4 linked regions of the Arabidopsis thaliana genome follow. The protein of the gene in region 1 interacts with the protein of each later gene in a pairwise test. Each region holds a gene or a part of one and is shown in the gene's direction. Other genes may lie near its edges. The genes, in order: CDKB1;2, CYC3B, CYCB2;3 and KRP6.

The links.
Region 2: the proteins of CDKB1;2 (region 1) and CYC3B interact in a two-hybrid assay, tested with the Arabidopsis thaliana proteins (one large-scale study listed by BioGRID).
Region 3: the proteins of CDKB1;2 (region 1) and CYCB2;3 interact in a protein complementation assay, tested with the Arabidopsis thaliana proteins (one large-scale study listed by BioGRID).
Region 4: the proteins of CDKB1;2 (region 1) and KRP6 interact in a protein complementation assay, tested with the Arabidopsis thaliana proteins (one large-scale study listed by BioGRID).

Annotation. Positions count from the first base shown.
Region 1 is NC_003071.7:16,150,531-16,154,627, forward strand, and holds CDKB1;2 (cyclin-dependent kinase B1;2), read left to right. Parts: upstream 1-1,942; 5' UTR 1,943-2,020; coding exon 2,021-2,654; intron 2,655-2,736; coding exon 2,737-2,806; coding exon of another isoform or gene 2,807-2,876; exon of another isoform or gene 2,877-2,961; coding exon 2,962-3,100; exon of another isoform or gene 3,101-3,243; coding exon 3,244-3,336; 3' UTR 3,337-3,556; downstream 3,557-4,097. Other genes in the region: AT2G38630 (Transducin/WD40 repeat-like superfamily protein), read right to left, coding at 3,753-3,988, 4,087-4,097. UniProt on the Arabidopsis thaliana protein: Together with CDKB1-1, promotes both the last division in the stomatal cell lineage as well as the number of stomata.
Region 2 is NC_003076.8:3,600,968-3,607,140, reverse strand, and holds CYC3B (mitotic-like cyclin 3B from Arabidopsi), read left to right. Parts: upstream 1-1,790; 5' UTR 1,791-1,976; intron 1,977-2,637; 5' UTR 2,638-2,674; coding exon 2,675-2,830; intron 2,831-2,913; coding exon 2,914-3,000; intron 3,001-3,113; coding exon 3,114-3,300; intron 3,301-3,526; coding exon 3,527-3,648; intron 3,649-3,770; coding exon 3,771-3,863; intron 3,864-4,030; coding exon 4,031-4,164; intron 4,165-4,332; coding exon 4,333-4,408; intron 4,409-4,497; coding exon 4,498-4,574; intron 4,575-4,670; coding exon 4,671-4,704; intron 4,705-4,797; coding exon 4,798-4,947; coding exon of another isoform or gene 4,948-5,036; coding exon 5,037-5,171; intron 5,172-5,270; coding exon 5,271-5,330; 3' UTR 5,331-5,628; downstream 5,629-6,173. Other genes in the region: AT5G11310 (Pentatricopeptide repeat (PPR) superfamily protein), read right to left, coding at 93-651.
Region 3 is NC_003070.9:7,134,125-7,139,631, reverse strand, and holds CYCB2;3 (Cyclin B2;3), read left to right. Parts: upstream 1-1,803; 5' UTR 1,804-2,092; intron 2,093-2,340; 5' UTR 2,341-2,358; coding exon 2,359-2,413; intron 2,414-2,506; coding exon 2,507-2,639; intron 2,640-2,741; coding exon 2,742-2,789; intron 2,790-2,873; coding exon 2,874-2,922; intron 2,923-3,004; coding exon 3,005-3,151; intron 3,152-3,233; coding exon 3,234-3,368; intron 3,369-3,479; coding exon 3,480-3,569; intron 3,570-3,659; coding exon 3,660-3,881; intron 3,882-3,967; coding exon 3,968-4,066; intron 4,067-4,164; coding exon 4,165-4,343; intron 4,344-4,426; coding exon 4,427-4,559; 3' UTR 4,560-4,973; downstream 4,974-5,507. Other genes in the region: AT1G20600 (AP2/B3-like transcriptional factor family protein), read right to left, coding at 5,395-5,466.
Region 4 is NC_003074.8:6,615,778-6,619,757, reverse strand, and holds KRP6 (KIP-related protein 6), read left to right. Parts: upstream 1-1,806; 5' UTR 1,807-2,102; coding exon 2,103-2,396; intron 2,397-2,499; coding exon 2,500-2,555; coding exon of another isoform or gene 2,556-2,647; coding exon 2,648-2,824; coding exon of another isoform or gene 2,825-2,828; exon of another isoform or gene 2,829-3,066; coding exon 3,067-3,130; 3' UTR 3,131-3,428; downstream 3,429-3,980. UniProt on the Arabidopsis thaliana protein: Binds and inhibits CYCD2-1/CDKA-1 complex kinase activity. Regulates cell division which is crucial for plant growth, development and morphogenesis. May inhibit CDK kinases specifically involved in the G1/S phase transition.

The DNA of each region.
Region 1 (4,097 bases):
TAAAAAGAAAACAATGAGACATTTGTATTTAGCGCAAAAACCACGTGATGTTCTTTAAAACTGTTTTGAATTTATTACAAAAAAACATTCTAAATAATTTTGAATTGCTTAATTAGTTTGGATTTTAAAAGCTGAAAGAAAGACACAATAACTTAAAATAATCCAAAGAGTCATGCTTAAATAAATCCAACCAACATAACTATCGAAGCTGTTGCAACACAACAATATTTGTCACAAAAAAAAAACAATCGTTTCAGATGGACAAGATATTCTAAAGTAAAGACTTGTCAAGCATTAACTTTGAAGAGAAGATTGTATTGGCTGAGTGATAGGGTTCTCTTCATCCATTGTTTTCTGTTTTTTCCTTGGTCGTCCTTGAGGTTTCTTGGGTGGTTTTGGCATTGCTTTACACTTGCATGAACGTTTGTTGTGTCCGACTTGTTGACAATTGCTGCAAGTCTAAATATGCAAAGATTAAATTTAATAATTTGAAAATGAAGATCTTGTGAAACATAATTCATTGTTCTCTATTTTACCATTTAAACTTTTTCACGTGTATAAAGAACTTTTTGAGGTGGACGATCTTCAGTTGGATCACGGATTCTGTCATTGTTCTTTGGTCGATTTTTGGAAATTAATATCCCATTAATATTTAATTACTATGGGGTTAAGTTTATTAACAGGTTTTAGTTCAGAGTTTGTTTTACTAAAAACATAGTTCAGAATTTAAAAATAGATCTGACCAAAGCTGACGGTTTTTTTCATTAAATTCCCTTAATAAAATGGTTGCAAATAAGTTTATTGACCCTAGTAAATCAGTAACGGTTTTTCATAATCAACTTTAAAGTCTTTAAGCCATTTTCTTTCGTTTAGTCAATGCCCTATCATTGAATATTATCTTTGTTTTCTTTTTCATTATTGTAATTTTCTTTTATGTATAGTAGTCCAATAATTTTTTAATATTCAGCCATTGTTTAGTTTCCACATGAAACACACAATTTGTTTATAATCTTGTTTTTCTTTCCCCTTTACATAGAACTTCTTATGATGATTTTTATGAGTTTGTGAAATTGCATACCTTGCACATTCGTAGACCTAGTCAGAATTTTTGTTGTTGTTGTAGTATCTTTATTGTAAAAAGAAATGGTTTTCTTAATGTAACTATCGATCAAAACTGATGCAATTACCATACATGAAATTGGAATGAGTGTAAGAAGAATATAAAGTTGAAATAAATCAAAAATGTGAAACTGAATCAATATCATATGAAGTTGAATCATGTATACTAGAAGCCTAGAACACAAGAAACAACCCACCATTAATGAATAATGAGTAAGAGTTCACAGTCCCAAAATAATTGAAGTTACAAATTCGAACACAAAAAATCAAACCTAAACATTTTTCCAATTGGTTGAGTAAGTGAAAAAAAACTACGTAGTAAGAAATTCTTTTTTTGAGTTTGTGCCAAACATTGAACATTAACGTATAAGGAGAAAACTAATGGGATACAAGCTAAAACAGTTATAGTCTTATTAATTAGTATGTTAAATACTAGATTAAAGTTAAAATGAAGTTGGAAAAGCTCGAAGTTTCAACCAATTAATGCGAAATGATCGACTCTTCAAGTAATATTAATAGTTTAGCAAAATAAATGACTGAAAAATCTTTATTATGGGTTGTGGCTGCAAGCATGAGCTTAGCTTTTTGTACTCAGGGCCGGCTTTACATCAAAGATCATGCATAGATTCATTCAACTAAACATTCACCATGGATAATGAATTGAAATCTATAAACATAATCAAGCAAATATCTTATACTATACTTATCTGTTTAAAATGACTTTGAGTCTTTGACTAATAAAATATTATTGGTACGTGTGAAGCGTGCGAGGGATTCAAATGTTAAACGTTATAGCAAAGAGGCGCCTTTATTTACCAGATCTAAAATCGAAAAGGGGCTTTAGGGTTTATAAGACCCAAACAAAAAACATTCATCAGTCTCAATTCAAAATCCTCCATCAATGGAGAAATACGAGAAGCTCGAAAAGGTCGGTGAAGGAACCTATGGAAAAGTCTACAAAGCAATGGAGAAAACCACCGGAAAACTCGTCGCTCTGAAGAAAACTAGGCTCGAAATGGACGAAGAAGGTATACCACCAACGGCTCTCCGTGAGATCTCTCTTCTCCAAATGCTTTCTCAATCAATCTACATCGTTCGTCTCCTCTGCGTCGAACATGTTATTCAATCGAAAGATTCGACTGTTTCTCACTCTCCCAAATCCAATCTCTATCTCGTTTTTGAGTATCTCGACACTGATCTCAAGAAATTTATAGATTCTCATAGAAAGGGCTCGAATCCTAGACCGCTTGAGGCTTCTCTTGTGCAGAGGTTTATGTTTCAGCTTTTTAAAGGTGTGGCTCATTGTCATAGCCATGGTGTGCTTCACCGTGATCTTAAACCGCAGAATCTTCTATTGGATAAGGATAAAGGGATTCTTAAGATTGCTGATTTGGGTCTTAGTCGTGCTTTTACTGTGCCTCTTAAGGCTTATACACATGAGATTGTTACTCTTTGGTATAGAGCTCCTGAAGTTTTGCTTGGTTCTACTCATTACTCTACTGCTGTTGATATTTGGTCTGTTGGATGCATCTTTGGTTAGTAATCAGCTACTATGTCTCTTTTAATGGTCTTTTGTTCTACTGTTTGGATTACTGATGTTTCCCCATTTTTTTGTAGCCGAGATGATTAGGAGGCAAGCTCTTTTCCCTGGTGATTCTGAGTTTCAGCAACTACTTCATATTTTCAGGTATTTGCTTCTTGTTTTTGATGCCAATGTGTATGTATACAGGAACCAGTTTAGGACTTTAGCCCATTAGGTTCAGTACTCGTGAACTCATTTGGATTATGGGGACTGTCTAGTATCAATATATCTGAAGTATGGTTTTGTTTTGGGTTCTGGAGATTGTTAGGAACACCAACTGAGCAGCAATGGCCGGGTGTAATGGCATTGCGTGACTGGCATGTCTATCCAAAGTGGGAGCCGCAAGACTTATCACGTGCTGTTCCATCTCTATCTCCTGAAGGAATTGATCTTCTCACGGTAATGCTCTTTTCTAAAATATGACCATTGTTGGAGAAGTGGCCTAAGATTCTCTTGCATACTTGATCTCTTTAGTAGATTCTTTCTGTTGGGGTTCGTTCCTAGTTGATGATAATTTGTTTTGAACCTTTGAACAATTGCAGCAAATGTTGAAGTACAATCCAGCAGAAAGAATTTCAGCAAAAGCAGCTCTCGATCATCCCTACTTTGACAGCCTTGACAAATCTCAGTTCTGACCTCTGCCAAATTACTGATCAGGCTTCTCTTTGGAGTTCTGAAGCTGATGGCTCAAGTTTATTGTCTTGGTGTCTTATGCTGTGTGCTTTAGAAAGATTTGTACTTAAACTAAACAATCTGAAAACCTTGTTTGTTCAGCGAGAGTGAGAGAATCTTCTTTAAGTGGCCAATTTTATTTGTTCATGTAAACAAGTCTATCAAAGCAAAAATGGTTAACCCTATTAAGCAGACAAATCATTAGTGTACATAAATGAGAGACGAATTTGAAATATTTGCTGTTTCATTACAACGACAATTGCTACTCAAACACACAAGTAAATTACATATCTCATGATATTACACAATTGAGAAACAGAACAAGATACAGAGATCTCTTGTATTAATGTAAAAAAAACAAAACAAATGATGAGTAGCTTCAATTAGACCAGACATGGAGGAGGCCGTGTCTGTTTCCTGTGTATATTTCATTCCGTTCTTCGTCGTAGAAGAGAGCGGTTATGTCTTCCAAAGCCTCAGCAACCGCACTTCTCCTTCGAGAGGAATTCCCCAAATCACTACTGCTGCAGTCCTCTTCCTTAGGAGGACCATTATTTGCTTTTATCTTAGCTAAGCATTTACCAGTCAAGATATTGCTTATGTTAATCGACCCCGCTACATCAACAACCAAAATCACGACAATGTCTCAATAGCAAAACAAAATCAGACCATGAGGTTTCTTGATTTGAAGAGTGGATGATGAGTCTACTTACCATTTCCTTCT
Region 2 (6,173 bases), on another chromosome or scaffold:
ACTATATTAAAGTCAAAAGCTTTATGCTTCTATTACTCTAAGCTAGCTCTTTGTATCAGCAATATTGATGAAGCTACAAGAAATCTGCATACCAGCACGAGCATACCGTCTGATCAAAACGATGAACGTATCTGCAGAAACCAAATTCGATCCTTCATCGCTTCTCACTCGATCAAAAACCAACGACCAAGCAATTTCAAATTCACGAGCTTTACATAGAGAATTGACAACAGAATCGAAAAGTGAAGGAGAAAGTGTAAACCCAGGTTTCATCTCCGCCCATTTGAACACTGAGTGAAGCAACATCGGCGATGAACTTAACCGATCGAACAACGCGTGAACCAACTCAACACTCGGTTCGATTCCGGTTTCATCTAAAGCTGACTCGAGACTCGAACCGGGAACAACATCAGTGTTCTCGAGAAGATTCGATATAGTAGAGAGATCGGTTTTCGAGACGGTGTTTTGTTGCGGTGGAGTACATGTAGAATCGGGTACGGCGGGTGATTGTATCCGTTGGATGAGAGGCTCGACGGGAATGAGCGGGGATGAACGGCGAGATGATGATAACAATCTATGAAGAAAGAAGTTGCGGTGAGGATTAGGGTTTAAGAGGAGGTTGCGGCGGAAGGCGGTGAACAGAGAGTTCATTTTCTGCCGCCGTTTATTAGAATTAAGTGTCCGCCGAGAAAATTAGGACACTCCGATTACGCGCCATTTGGGCTTTTGTTTGTTAACTGAAAATATCGATCAACATGGCCCATTATTTTAAAATGAAGTTACATATAGAATATTTGATATATATCCTCATACAACTTAGAAATTGTCTTTCTAGTCCTTCTCCACACGTATTTAATTTGTTTTTTATAAAGATGTATATACAATTTATCATTTATTTTTTTGGATAATTTACAATTTATTATTTTGCAAGTAAGAATCCGTGTATGCGTGTGATTCGTATATGTCCAAATACATATAATTAATGTTGTTAAATTGGTAGAAACGCCTTTTTGACTAATGTTTGAATTTCTATATGTGAATAAATATCTTTCGAAATAATTGTGAGAATGCAAGGCAATGGATGTGGTTATTTTCTCCCTCCATTTCCTTTTCAAATTTATTTTATCCCTTTAAAGAAATAAACATATAAATATTATTGACCAAATATATTAAATTGATTTTAAGGTAAAATAGTTGGAAAATATGTGTATAATTAGAAAAATGTCAAAAATTTATAATTGATCTGAACTCGAGCACTTGTTGATGTGTATTTGGATCGTATTTTCCAGATACATGAATTTTAAATTAACATCTTTTAATTTGATTAAGTAAATCAACGATTAAAAACGTGAATGATGGTAGATACATTGCGGTGATAATATCGTACAGAATCGTTTAATGTAAATATAATGTCTATTAATGTATTTTCGTTTCCAAATTAGAAATTACTGTAATTTACGTAAGGTAAATATATTTTTTGTTTTCAAAATAATAGTCATTACCATTTTATGTTTGTCGGAAATTTCTCGACCAATAATTTGTCTATCTATCGAAGTAGTGTAGTTCTTAAAAAACAAACAAATTACCATAACATATAAACTTTTTTTTGTTAATTGACAGCTCCAACATATGTGTAGTAATAAAAGACAGTTGCACTATTCCTTGTATAGTAACTTGGACCAAATTATAGAAATCATTCTTACAATTTTTTACCAAAGAAATTGAAGATTTTTCCAAAAAAAGCAAAGAAAGATTTTTTAAATTCCGATTTTTTTTTTTTGTTATATCCAAAAAAATCCGAATTTCAAACAGTACCTTTTTCAGTCAGTCGCTTCCCCCGCTCCTCTCCGCTCTCTCCCCCACCTACACATATTTCAACACTCTCTCTCTCTCTGGAGCGTTCTCTTCTCTCCTTGAGCTTCTCTTACCGCCATTAGAGCTCCTTCACAAACTCATAAACCTATTTGTTGAGCCAGGTATCATCATCACCTCTCGTCTGCTCACAATTTCCTGTTTGATTACCGATTCTCTGAATCGTAGCTTGTTGCTCTGCGTTTTGATCGATCGGAGCTAATAGTAGTTTGGATTTTAGTCTAATCGATCTCTCTAGCGAATGTTTTTTGGTCTTCGATTGAGATGATCGATTCCTCTTTGTTGTTTCCGCTTGTATTTGGTTTCTGCGTATTTGTTCTTCAAGCATGGCTAATCACTGGGAAATTGAAATTGTTGAGATCGTTCTTATCTGTTTGACTGGATTTTATGAAACGTGTGTGTACTCTATGGCTCATTGTTTGTTTAAGTAATCGGTCTTTTAAAGGATTTTTGCTATGAAGAACAATGCTTAATTCGATTTGGAAATGACTAGCTTGAAAATTGGATCTATCGATGCAGATTAATGTGAAGGAAACATAGAAACTAGTTGTGATAAGCTGGGTTGCTTGTTTAAGCTGACATTTACTCAATAGTTAGAATCGTGTGGAATTGAGATCTGTGGCTAAATTTGAGTATGAAGAAATCGTTTTAATTGCCACTATATGCTTGTTTCTTCCTGAAATTTATGCTGCATTTGAACATTGCTTGATCTTTTTGATGGAGGCAAGGATAGACATTTGATTATGAACTGTTGTTGTTCTGCAGGCTTGGCTTAACCACTGGCCTTTTTCCAGACTAAATTATGTATTGCTCTTCTTCGATGCATCCAAATGCAAACAAAGAAAATATCTCTACTTCAGATGTACAGGAGAGTTTTGTACGAATAACGAGATCACGAGCTAAAAAAGCCATGGGAAGAGGAGTATCAATACCTCCAACAAAACCTTCTTTTAAACAGGTACTGAAACATGTTCTTATAGAAAGTCATGAATTTCAAGAGCTGATGCTAAACTCTCTAATTTCCTGCCTCTGGTTTATCAGCAAAAGAGACGTGCAGTACTTAAGGATGTGAGTAATACCTCTGCAGATATTATTTATTCAGAACTTCGAAAGGGAGGCAACATCAAGGTAAAGATTTCAGATGATACGCTTTCATTGTCTTGGTTGGTTTATATCTTATGTTGGTAATATAGCCTTCAAACTTTCCCTTTGGGCTTATTACTGTTGACATCACGTTGCAGGCAAACAGAAAATGTCTAAAAGAGCCTAAAAAAGCAGCAAAGGAAGGTGCTAACAGTGCCATGGATATTCTGGTAGATATGCATACAGAAAAATCAAAATTAGCAGAAGATTTGTCCAAGATCAGGATGGCTGAAGCCCAAGATGTCTCTCTTTCAAACTTTAAAGATGAAGAAATTACTGAGCAACGTAAGAACTACAGTGTTCGTGAAAATAATGATAGTTACCACCTTCTCCTCATTTCCGAGGTCATGTTGATCACTCGCTAACTTTAAATCAAGCATTGGACTCCAGAATGCTGAAATTAGTTATTCCCATTAAATTTGTGTTGTCAAGGGTTGAAACAAGTGAACTCTATACCAACATGAATTTCTCAAACTTACTTAAGGTATGTATCTTATACTGGATTGTGCAGAAGAAGATGGATCAGGTGTCATGGAGTTACTTCAAGTTGTAGATATTGATTCCAACGTCGAAGATCCACAGTGTTGCAGCTTGTATGCTGCTGATATATATGACAACATACATGTTGCAGAGGTATTGAATTACATGATCCAAATATTTGCTTTACATCTTTCCACTGTTAACTTCTTGTAACTAATCTCAATATAACTACTTATATGAAGACTGTTGGAGTTATAACCTCTCTTTTCTTGCAGCTTCAACAACGACCCTTGGCTAATTATATGGAGCTTGTGCAGCGAGATATCGACCCAGACATGAGAAAGATTCTGATTGACTGGCTTGTAGAAGTTAGTTACCTTCAAACTTAGCTCATATATATAAATAACGGCATCATCTTATTATGTTTCTTATTGAATAGGACACTAAACCTTACTATACATAGCTTTCTTACAAAAATTAGAGCAAAAACTGAGAGTACTTTTGAGTAAAATAGTGAAGTGCGTGGTATTTTCAGGTTTCTGACGACTACAAGCTGGTTCCAGATACGCTTTACCTTACAGTGAATCTTATCGACCGGTTTCTGTCCAACAGTTACATTGAAAGGCAAAGACTCCAGCTCCTTGGTGTCTCTTGCATGCTTATAGCTTCGTAAGTCCCTACTTTGTTGTTTGTGTGTGTTTGTCAATTTCAGGTTATAGCAATGAGAACAGCATTTCCATCACTGGGAGAGCGCGAACCTATATATATATGTATACTTGCTAAGTAGAGAAACAAGTAAGGCTTATCTTCCTTATACATTTTTGTTGAACCTTGTAGAAAATATGAAGAGCTTTCCGCACCAGGGGTGGAGGAGTTTTGCTTCATTACGGCCAACACATACACAAGACCAGAAGTAATTAACATTCAAATCACACATCTCTCGGTATCTTTAATGTGTACAGATTCTTGATGAAAATATATAAACTGGAATCTTTGTTTCAGGTGCTGAGCATGGAGATTCAAATTCTAAATTTTGTGCACTTTAGATTATCGGTTCCTACCACCAAAACATTTCTGAGGTAAATACTAAAGGGCAGAACTATGAATCATCATATCTTTCCAACTTTGTTTAAAAATAGTACCACTGAGTTTTCATCTTACCAATGTTTTTTCAGGCGGTTCATTAAAGCAGCTCAAGCTTCGTACAAGGTATGAAACCATGATCCATTTATCATCAACCCTCACTTCTACAGAAACTTGGAATCTGAATGTAGTGCGTTGTTTCTTATAATTATTTTGCAGGTGCCTTTCATTGAACTGGAGTATTTAGCAAACTATCTCGCCGAATTGACACTGGTGGAATATAGTTTCCTAAGGTTCCTGCCATCACTAATTGCTGCTTCAGCTGTTTTCCTAGCCCGATGGACACTCGACCAAACTGACCATCCTTGGGTCAGCTCATGTTTCTTGAATCTTGAAAAAGGTTGTTTTTGTGTTTGCCTCTTTTTTGTGCTGATAAAAAGAATGATGTTTGGTTATAGAACCCTACTCTGCAACACTACACCAGATATGAGGTAGCTGAGCTGAAGAACACAGTTCTCGCCATGGAGGACTTGCAGCTCAACACCAGTGGCTGTACTCTCGCTGCCACCCGTGAGAAATACAACCAACCAAAGGTACATTTCTCTACAAAACACCGTTAAATCAAACTACTGATTGTTGAAGAAAAGTGAATGAATGATTGAACTGGTTTTAATTCTGTATGACTTTGATAGTTTAAGAGCGTGGCAAAGCTGACATCTCCCAAACGAGTCACATCACTATTCTCAAGATGACACCAAGCAACATCGAAAACAGAGCCCAAGTCAGGTGATCAAAATACCTATTTTCAGACATTGGATGTTATGTCGTCTCTTTGCCAGTTTTGTCTGTCTGTAATTCTGTAGCTATTGTGTGGCGCCTTAATTGTAGGCCATTACTTGTCACACCACTTAGCTTTAAATAAATGTTATGGAATTTTTCTAATCGCATTGCTACAACTATTTACTATCCTGCGGGATTTTGTACCTAGGAGCACTTGGAAAACGAATACAAAAGTGTTAATTAATATAAATTTCACTGTTCATGGCTGGATTGTTATGTTGTTTGTTCTGATTTCGCAATGCTATATTCATATGGAAACATTTCCATCTACAATTAACGTCTCCCGTGTAACATTTGGTATCCCCTTTTTACTGATTCCTCCATGCTTGATTTTATTCGTCAAATTAGTCTTCAGGTATACTTCAATGTATGTATTTCCATGGCTTGAAGTTCTTCAATCTTCCACAAATTCAATCAAATCCTAAAATTCGAAGATACGCCAACACTTTTCCTCCTTAAAAACTCTCAACTATACCCACTTCAGTTCCTTAAGTTGAGTTATCACAGCTACAGTTCCTTATATAGTCCTCCACTAAACAAACAAGAAATCCCTAAGTCTGTAGCTCGACTTAAAACCGCTTCAGATACTTTTCTCAAAGTCGACTTACCTATAATTTTCTGTATGGCAATAGCCTCTACCGCCGTGATTGCGCACGAGATTCATTTACAAAGATCAGGACGCCTAAACCGGTAACTTCTCACTATAAAATGGTAAAAACAGTGTTATTGTTTACATGATCACTTATTCTCTTCTT
Region 3 (5,507 bases), on another chromosome or scaffold:
GTGCCACAGGCCCACCAAGCCTAATATATCTATTATCTAAGATACTAATGGGCTCTAGTCTGGTGGGTAAGTTTTGGGCCAACCTGTAATGGAAAAAAAAACAGTTGTATTCATTAAACGGATATTAATTACAAGAGACTGAGAACTTATGCAACCTAAAAGATATACATGTCAATTTAAATGCCAATAACAAAAATCTGAAACAAGAACTTATAGAATGATCTCAAACTTAACCTAATGGCATATCATATTTATTTAATGTATCTATATCAATGGAAACAAAATGCTATTGTTGTGTTTCTACATAGAAACGCAATGTTCACACTTCTACACAAATGACTTGATTGATTTAAAAGTGATTGATAGTAAATGCAGTATATCAATGCCATTATCATGTAAACAACTCTATATATCTTTTTCCCATAAAAATATAGTACGATATTCTAATGATACACTTGAAGAAGGTCTAAACTTTGTGTGAGATTTCTTACTCGAAAAAGAAAATCATTTAACTTGAGATTAATATAAATGTATTTGATTTCTTAAACGAGTCTTGGTTTTTGGTCAAAGGTGATGTATTTGATTTTTTAAATAATAGTATTTTATTTGTTATTATAGAAATGTATATTATATAGTGTAATTTTCGAAAATAAAATAAAAATAGTTGTCTTTCCCAAAATAAAAAAGGGAAGGGTATTATCATTCTTACTCGGAAGAATCGAAAATTAAGTCCATTTTTTTCTACTGTTTATCTTACACTATTTTTGTGGCAAATACAATAATACCTCTATATTATATAACTATTCTTATTGCCATACCACTGTACCTGTGAAGATTACGACAATGATAGTTTTTGTTCAGATTCAGTTCAAATTGGTTAACAATCAAATTACCGAGTTAACTAATACTTTATCTAGAGGTAGTGACAATAATAATCTTATTGGATGAAATTCATATTTTGCACGTTATAGTAACTCGTTAATTTTTTTATATGATATAATAAATGAGTTAAGACGGTAAATATAAATATATCACATAAGTTATAACTTATTGCGATTCAAAATGACTTAGCATGACATAATTATAAATTTATTGATATAAATATTTTGTTATCATGTTAACCTAATAAATATTACCGAGATATTTGTTATTGAAAACAAAAAAAACCCAAAGAATTTGAATAAGTACACATACACATGGATGAAAAACAATGATAGCCGTTGAACATAAGGCAACTTTCGATTTGGAACACGTGGCATTAATCCAACAGCTGATATGAACTAGGCAACTAGCTGTTAATTTTAAAGATATTATACAGACAATATATCCGCTCTTCTAGTCTTCAAAATCTCTATTATTCTTTATTTTTTCTTTTTTTCTTTGCCCTTGTAGTATAATATTCTAATGATACACTTGAAGAAAATCTAAACTTTGTGTGAGATTTCTTGCTTGAAAAAGAAAATCATTTAACTTGAGATTAATATAAACGAATCTTGGTCTTTGGTCAAAGGAGACATATTTGATTCTTTTAAATAGAAGTGTTTTATTTGTTTTTATAGAAATGAATATTATTTCATGGTGTAATTTTCAAAAATAAAATAAAAATAGTTGTCTTCCCCAAAATAGAATAAAAGAAAAAAAAATCAAAGAATTTGAATAAATCTATACATAGATGATATACAATTATAACCGTTGAATAGAAGACAACTTTCGATCTGGAACACGTGGCGTTGATCCAACGGCTGAGATGAACTAGCCGTTAATTTTAAAGAAAACTAATACACTATAGACGCTCTTCTAATCTTCAAAATCAATCTTACTCTTTTTTTTTTCTTTTTTTCTTTACCCTTATAAAGAGAGATAGAGAGAGAGTGGGAAGTATCTTCAAAACCGAAGCCATTAGAGAGAAAGAGAGCGTGGTTGAATCTTTGGGTTTTACTAAAAGATCTCTCTTTCTCTCCTTTGTTTGATCAACTTGGATCCAACGGGATAAAAGACTATTAGGGTTTAGGAGATTCACTGGGTTTCATAAGAATTTATGATCAAGGGTCGACTTAATCTCGCGTTGGTTCTTTGAATTGACTGTGAAAAGGTGATTTTTTTGAAAAACCAATTCGTGGGTTTTCGTTATCTTCTGGGTATTTGAGATTTAGGTCTTTGTTGTTCTTGATTGGGTCTTTCATTGAGATTATTAAACCGGATCTATAGGGTTTTGATTGTCAAGACTGTTTTTTTAGTTTCAATTTTGAAAACCCCTGCTTTTAAGTTGGGGGATGTTTCGATTTTGAAATTTGATTTCTTCAAGAGAAGAGATTTAATGAAAATAAATAACTTCCGCAGATAACGAAGAAGAAGAAAATGGTTAGATCAGATGAAAATAGCCTTGGATTAATCGGATCAATGAGTCTCCAAGGTACCCTAAATCGATCGATTTTGTTATTAAAAATCAAAACTTTCGTTCTCTTTGATTTTTCCCCCAAATTGATTTTGAATTTACTTGATGTAGGGGGAGGAGTAGTAGGAAAGATCAAGACGACGGCAACAACAGGACCGACAAGAAGAGCACTAAGTACTATTAACAAGAACATCACTGAAGCGCCGTCTTACCCTTATGCTGTCAACAAGAGATCAGTTTCTGAGTAAGTTCACTTTAATCCTCAGATTCAAGATTAGTGTTTTTTTTTTCTTCTCCCTTTGATTAGACTCTTATAGGAACCCTATTTCTTTCTGTGACTTTGCAGAAGAGATGGCATTTGTAATAAACCACCTGTGCATCGACCAGTTACTAGGTAAGCATAGATCTTTACTCTTGTCTACTTTGAGTATCTCACATTGTCTGATTACTTAACTTTTACTACTCTCTGTTGGTTCAGGAAGTTTGCTGCTCAGTTAGCAGATCATAAGCCACATATCCGTGATGAGGTACCCTATTGTTCAATGTATGTTTCATTTAGAGCAATGATGATATAGACCGGATTTTAAAGTTCTGATCTTTAACTCTTAGGAAACTAAGAAACCAGACTCAGTTTCAAGTGAAGAACCAGAGACGATTATCATTGATGTGGATGAAAGTGATAAAGAAGGAGGTGACTCTAATGAGCCAATGTTTGTACAACATACTGAAGCAATGCTGGAGGAGATTGAACAGATGGTATACATATTTCCTAACCATTCTTTGCTTTGTTTATGGAAGTGTTAATATAGTTACTCATATTGTTTGTGTCTTTCAAAAGGAGAAGGAGATTGAAATGGAAGATGCAGACAAAGAAGAAGAGCCTGTGATCGATATTGATGCCTGTGATAAGAATAATCCTTTGGCTGCGGTTGAATATATCCATGATATGCATACCTTCTACAAGAATTTTGAGGTGAATTTGTCTTGTTTCACATCAACTTTTGCTTTTGTGTTCTTTATCATCGAAAGGATTGTAGTTTCAAAATCTTGTACTTATGTTTGATTCATTCTTATGATTCTGCAGAAACTTAGTTGCGTGCCTCCTAACTATATGGACAATCAACAAGATCTTAATGAGAGAATGAGAGGAATCCTCATTGACTGGTTAATTGAGGTAGACAGATCTAGACAAAAGCTATTTAATGCCACTTTTTTTGTCTCAATGTGCCTGAAGATAAATTGACTGGAAAATTATCTTGTCCAGGTGCACTACAAGTTTGAACTGATGGAGGAAACTCTTTATCTCACAATCAATGTCATCGACAGATTCCTTGCGGTTCATCAAATCGTGAGGAAAAAGCTTCAGCTTGTTGGTGTTACTGCTTTGTTGCTTGCATGTAAATATGAAGAAGTTTCAGTTCCAGTGGTAGATGATCTCATCTTGATCTCTGACAAAGCTTACTCTAGAAGAGAAGTGCTAGATATGGTGAATACACAACTTTGTCTTGATCATTAACTACCACTGGTTGATGCTTCATAGTTGAATTTACCTGTTTTTGGTTTCTATTGCAGGAGAAGCTAATGGCCAACACCTTGCAATTCAATTTCTCTCTACCAACTCCATATGTTTTCATGAAACGATTTCTCAAAGCTGCCCAATCTGACAAGAAGGTATATATCTCCCTAACTAAAAAAGCTTGAATCATTATATCCGGAAACCATCAGGCCTAATATCTAAATCGGTGTGGTATATGCAATTGTGGTTTCAGCTTGAGATTTTATCATTCTTTATGATCGAGCTTTGCCTTGTGGAGTATGAGATGCTAGAGTATCTTCCATCTAAGCTGGCGGCCTCAGCAATCTACACTGCTCAGTGTACACTTAAGGGATTTGAAGAATGGAGCAAAACCTGTGAGTTTCACACAGGCTACAACGAAAAACAGCTACTGTAAGAACATACATTGATTTTTTTGAAAACCCCATGACATGAGATTTTGGTATCCTGACAGTGGGTTTTTGTGTTTTTTCTAGGGCATGTGCGAGAAAGATGGTTGCTTTCCATCACAAGGCAGGAACAGGGAAGCTCACAGGAGTTCACAGAAAGTACAACACATCTAAGTTCTGTCATGCTGCAAGAACTGAACCAGCTGGGTTTCTGATTTAATATTAATAAGAATCTAATATGACTTAACTCGAGTTTTTCTTTAGAACAAAAAGAGTGTGAGAGAAAGAGAGATAGTAGAGCAAGTTGCCCAAAATGGGAGAAGAATGGATCTTTAGATATCATGGCAAGTAGCCCAAAAAGAGTGTATTCTTCTCTTTCTAAGGTCTTTAGATCTTTCTTCACTTGAGAGAGAATAAAAAGAATCTTCTGATATCATGCTTTCCTATATTCAACTTGTGAATCGATTCTTGTATAGACTCAGGAAAATCTATGATCCAGTTTGGTTAATATTACTCGGGAGCTGAACCTCTAGACTGAATCAAATATTCTTCTACATGTCGTTTTGGTACTCTGGAACTGAATCTCTAGACCCTATCAAATATTCTACAAGTACATGGCAATTTTTTGGATTGTAATTTGGGAAAATTGCAGTTGACAAGGTTTTTACATGATGAAAATACAAGTACAATATTCTTTTATAGCTTATATATTAATGTTATAAATGACCATATAGACTACGTTATTTAGACAACTCAAAGTCTACAGTATTGCAGTCTTTATTGAAGGAGGATATAATCATTACTTCTAGTATTTCATAATCTTGTTCCTTCAATTTATCTTTGTTTTCTGATCTTAGTCTTATTAAGACCTTTATGAAAACAATGTACTTTGTTTTACTCATCTACTGTCAGAAATGGAGAATGCGCAAAGAAGAAAATAGATCACAACGAAAACTTGTCAATGATTCAAACATCTTGGTAACCCAAAATACAGAACTAGTAGTGCATCTGGACATATCTCTCTTGTTCTCCTTTGTTTGGTTTTACAGTGTTCTCTAAGAAGTGTTGCAGCACCTGACTTTGCTGCCTCGAATGAAGACATGCTCAAGCTGTGATACCTTACCATCCTGTAACATAGCAATGAAAAACCGAAAACAAAAGTTAAGTG
Region 4 (3,980 bases), on another chromosome or scaffold:
TTTTTCTTTTTATATCTAAGTATTGCAATCAAAATTTTCTTGGCAGTCAAAATTATTTTAATCTTGACATAGAGTTTTCTACATAGTAAAAAATTATCTTAACATACAAATTAATAGTAGGAAGTGACATAGAAACTATCTTAACATACAAAATCAACTTATCTTTACATTTTTCTAACTAGCTAATCAACAATGTAACAAAAAAATATTTGATTATTGATTGATAGTGTTATTATATATTCATACAAATGAGAAAAGATTTGAAATGATAGGCGAAATTTTTATTGAAAAGTTCTATCAATTTTTTTAAAAGTTTAGGACGACCCTATTCAGGACTATATATGATCATATGGATTACAATGGTCACTGAATAAATTATTTTGAATTATATCATTCCCTCTTGATTTGTCTTAATAATTCCTAAATAAATGCCTAGGTCAGCGAATTCGTTGTTGCATCAGTCACTTAATTATTACTCGATGATTCCTTTTATTACTAAAATTTATTGAAAATGGTCCCATTTATTGGAAGAATAAAGAAGTAGTTACACTAAAATTTAATTATAGTATATGCTTAAATTTGTAAACCGTTCTGGCCATTTTGTATATATATATACATATATGGGCTCTTTAAGACGAGAATTGAGTTTAGTTGTTTACAATTGGTTTTAACTGTACGGACAGTTTAGTTGAGCTTTAATGGCTCATTCTCTATGGTGCTATATTATGGTTTTAACACATGTACATTATTTCATAATACATATGTCATTAAAATGACATAGAGGACAAAATCTGTTGTTGATGTGTATCTGATCAGTGGAAGAAACTTACACATGCATGGAAACTTTCAAAAAGACAACTAAGCATAAACAAGAGATTAATTAGACTTAAGCTGAGTTAGTCTCTATATGACATAATTGATGTTTCTACTAAGCAAACCCCAAACTGTTATTCCCTTTCCAGATTCAAGCATTATTTGATTCGTCATTGATTTCATGGTCTTGGTGATGATACGAACCAAAAAGTTGTATAATTGGTTTATAAGATGTAGGTTCTTACAAAATTGACTATGTAACAAAATTATAGTATTGTTTTAAACGTAAATTAACGAGGCGCTTCTAGACATGTTCCGACAAACATATATAATAGTACAGATGATTTTATAGAATGTAGTTAATCGATGTATCTTCTGCTATAGGTATCTCTAATTTATTGTTCCGACCACCACAATTCTTTTCTAAGTATTTTATAAATTGGTTAACCATGTATCTTCTGTTGTGTAATTATAGCTAGTATCTTCATTTGAAATATTGTAAGGAATAGTTTGTCTAATTGCTTATGATATTTGACCATCTAAGTAAGTTTATGAACTAATTGTTTTTCAAAAAAGGTTGATTAACCTTAATTACGTGATAGTTTTAACATTAAAAGATTTCAACACTATGTTCTGGATGTTAACATATCCATCTCAAAACCATGATAAAACGCGTACAATGGAAGGGATCAAGCTAATTTGACAAATCTCTATTCACACCTCAACCATTCATATATATACCCTCGATATATGTCACATCATTGGTTTTAGCTTTTAATTGATTCTCATAAAATATAAAACCCAATTACGAGAAAAGACTTGTTCGATGGTTCTCATAGACCCTGACCAAATAAGACTTGTTCCTAAACAAATCGAATTAAATAGAGTTGTGGTTTACTCATACTTTAAATCGTTTTAAGAAAAAATAATGACTACTGTTACGTTGCTACTACGTCATAACTACCGAAAATGATTGCGTTTTCAATTGCTTTGAAAGGAAGCCAAAAAGGCAAAAACGGCAAAAAGGGAGAGAAAACGCGTTTGGGAATCTCAACGGCGTTTGTGTAAGAAAATAAAAGCGAAACTCCGTAACGGCGCCGTTATATACCATAACCTCCGTCCGCTCACCAAGGAAAATAAAATCTCAACCGTTGAAATAATCAACGGCTCATGATTCATTCTCTCTCCTTCCCCACCAAAATCTCCTCTGCTTTGTTAAGAAGCGAACCAGAAATAGAAAGAAAAAAAAGCAGAGAGAGAGAGCACACAAAAATCCAAGAGAGAAAAAAATGAGCGAGAGAAAGCGAGAGCTTGCAGAAGAAGCTTCAAGCACAAGCTTCTCACCACTGAAGAAAACGAAGCTTAATGATTCTTCTGATTCATCACCGGACTCTCATGACGTCATCGTCTTCGCGGTTTCATCTTCTTCCGTTGCTTCGTCGGCGGCTTTAGCGTCTGATGAATGTTCCGTTACCATCGGTGGAGAAGAAAGTGATCAGTCCTCGAGTATCAGCTCCGGTTGTTTCACCAGTGAATCGAAAGAAATCGCGAAGAACAGTTCGTCGTTTGGTGTAGATCTGGAGGTGAATTTTCAAAATCAAATAACTCCTCTCTACTTGAATCGATTTAATCAGACGATTTTCTCAGTTTTCGTTTTGATTTTTTATTTCCGTTTCTGTGTTTCAGGATCATCAAATCGAAACCGAAACCGAAACCTCAACATTCATCACCAGCAATTTCAGGTTCATAATCTTTTTGTTTCCCCCCCCCCCCAAATTAGACGTTCAATCGATTTTATTCTCCTTGGCGATTTTTTCTCTGTTTTTTATGGCAGAAAAGAGACGAGTCCAGTGAGTGAGGGTTTGGGAGAAACGACAACAGAAATGGAATCATCATCGGCAACGAAGAGAAAACAACCGGGGGTGAGGAAGACTCCAACGGCGGCGGAGATTGAGGATTTGTTCTCGGAGCTAGAGAGTCAAGACGATAAGAAGAAGCAATTCATAGAAAAGTGAGTCCATTTTTACAATTTCATCATCTCTCTCACGTGTGTTCTTGTTGTTGTTGTGTGCGCTTTGCTTTTTGGGGTTTGGGAAAAATTGGAGTGAGTCCGTACCTAGAGAGAGAGAGAGAGGAATGTGAGTAAAAATGTCTGCGTGCGCATGATAAAAAGATTAACCGACGCGTAGTTTAGCAAATATCCTAAAAAGAGAGAGAATCAGAATCCTAACGAACACACACACTTTGGCACAGGTACAACTTCGATATTGTCAATGACGAACCGCTTGAAGGTCGCTACAAGTGGGATCGACTTTAAGCCATCAAAAAGCAAATACCATCCATGAAGAAGACAAAAGAAAAATAGGTTTTGTTTTTCGTGGTTAACATTTCCACTTGTACAGCTCTAGTCTATTTCTCTTTAAAAACCTATGTTACTAGTTCGTACAAAACAAAACAAAAAACACGACCTTTATAATGAAATTTCGGATCTTGGCTACTAATTACGGTGATTTCGTTGGTTTGTTATGTTTCTGTTTTAAAATCAAAAATGGTTTTGGCAGAGTTTTAAGTGCATGAATATAGAAAGGTGCTTCTTGTTTGGATTCTTTTAAAACATTGGATGCTTAATTATTACAATTATTTTATCTTACTCAAAACTATTATTTTTTGTTTGTCTCATGTCATTCTTATTCTTACACTTGCAGTTTATGTTATATTTAAATGTTTCATGTCATATAGTACCCAATTTACAAAAATATCTGAAACCAAAAATTGATGTTTTAAAAAAAAAATTGGAGAAAAGAGGAAAGGTACATGACATGACGGCACAGTAATACAGTTGGTTTGTACTTCTCTAAAAACTGCGATCATACAAAATACAAATATTATATTTTTTCTATTTTTTTCACTAATATTCTTTTATTTTATTTTGGAATATTCCTCTATTTTGGCACTAAACACAGGGTCCACTTAGTTAAAACCATTTTGGCCTTCATTAGATAAAACCAAAAAGCGGCCTATGCGGAGTAGTAATTTATCCTAATGAAGTGTGTTACTGTAACAAAATATCATCAATGAGTGATACTATATAAAAACGATTACATAGGATATATTTACGTGGATTAGCTTTTTGGTAACGCATTAAAAAAGGTTAATCTCATCATTGC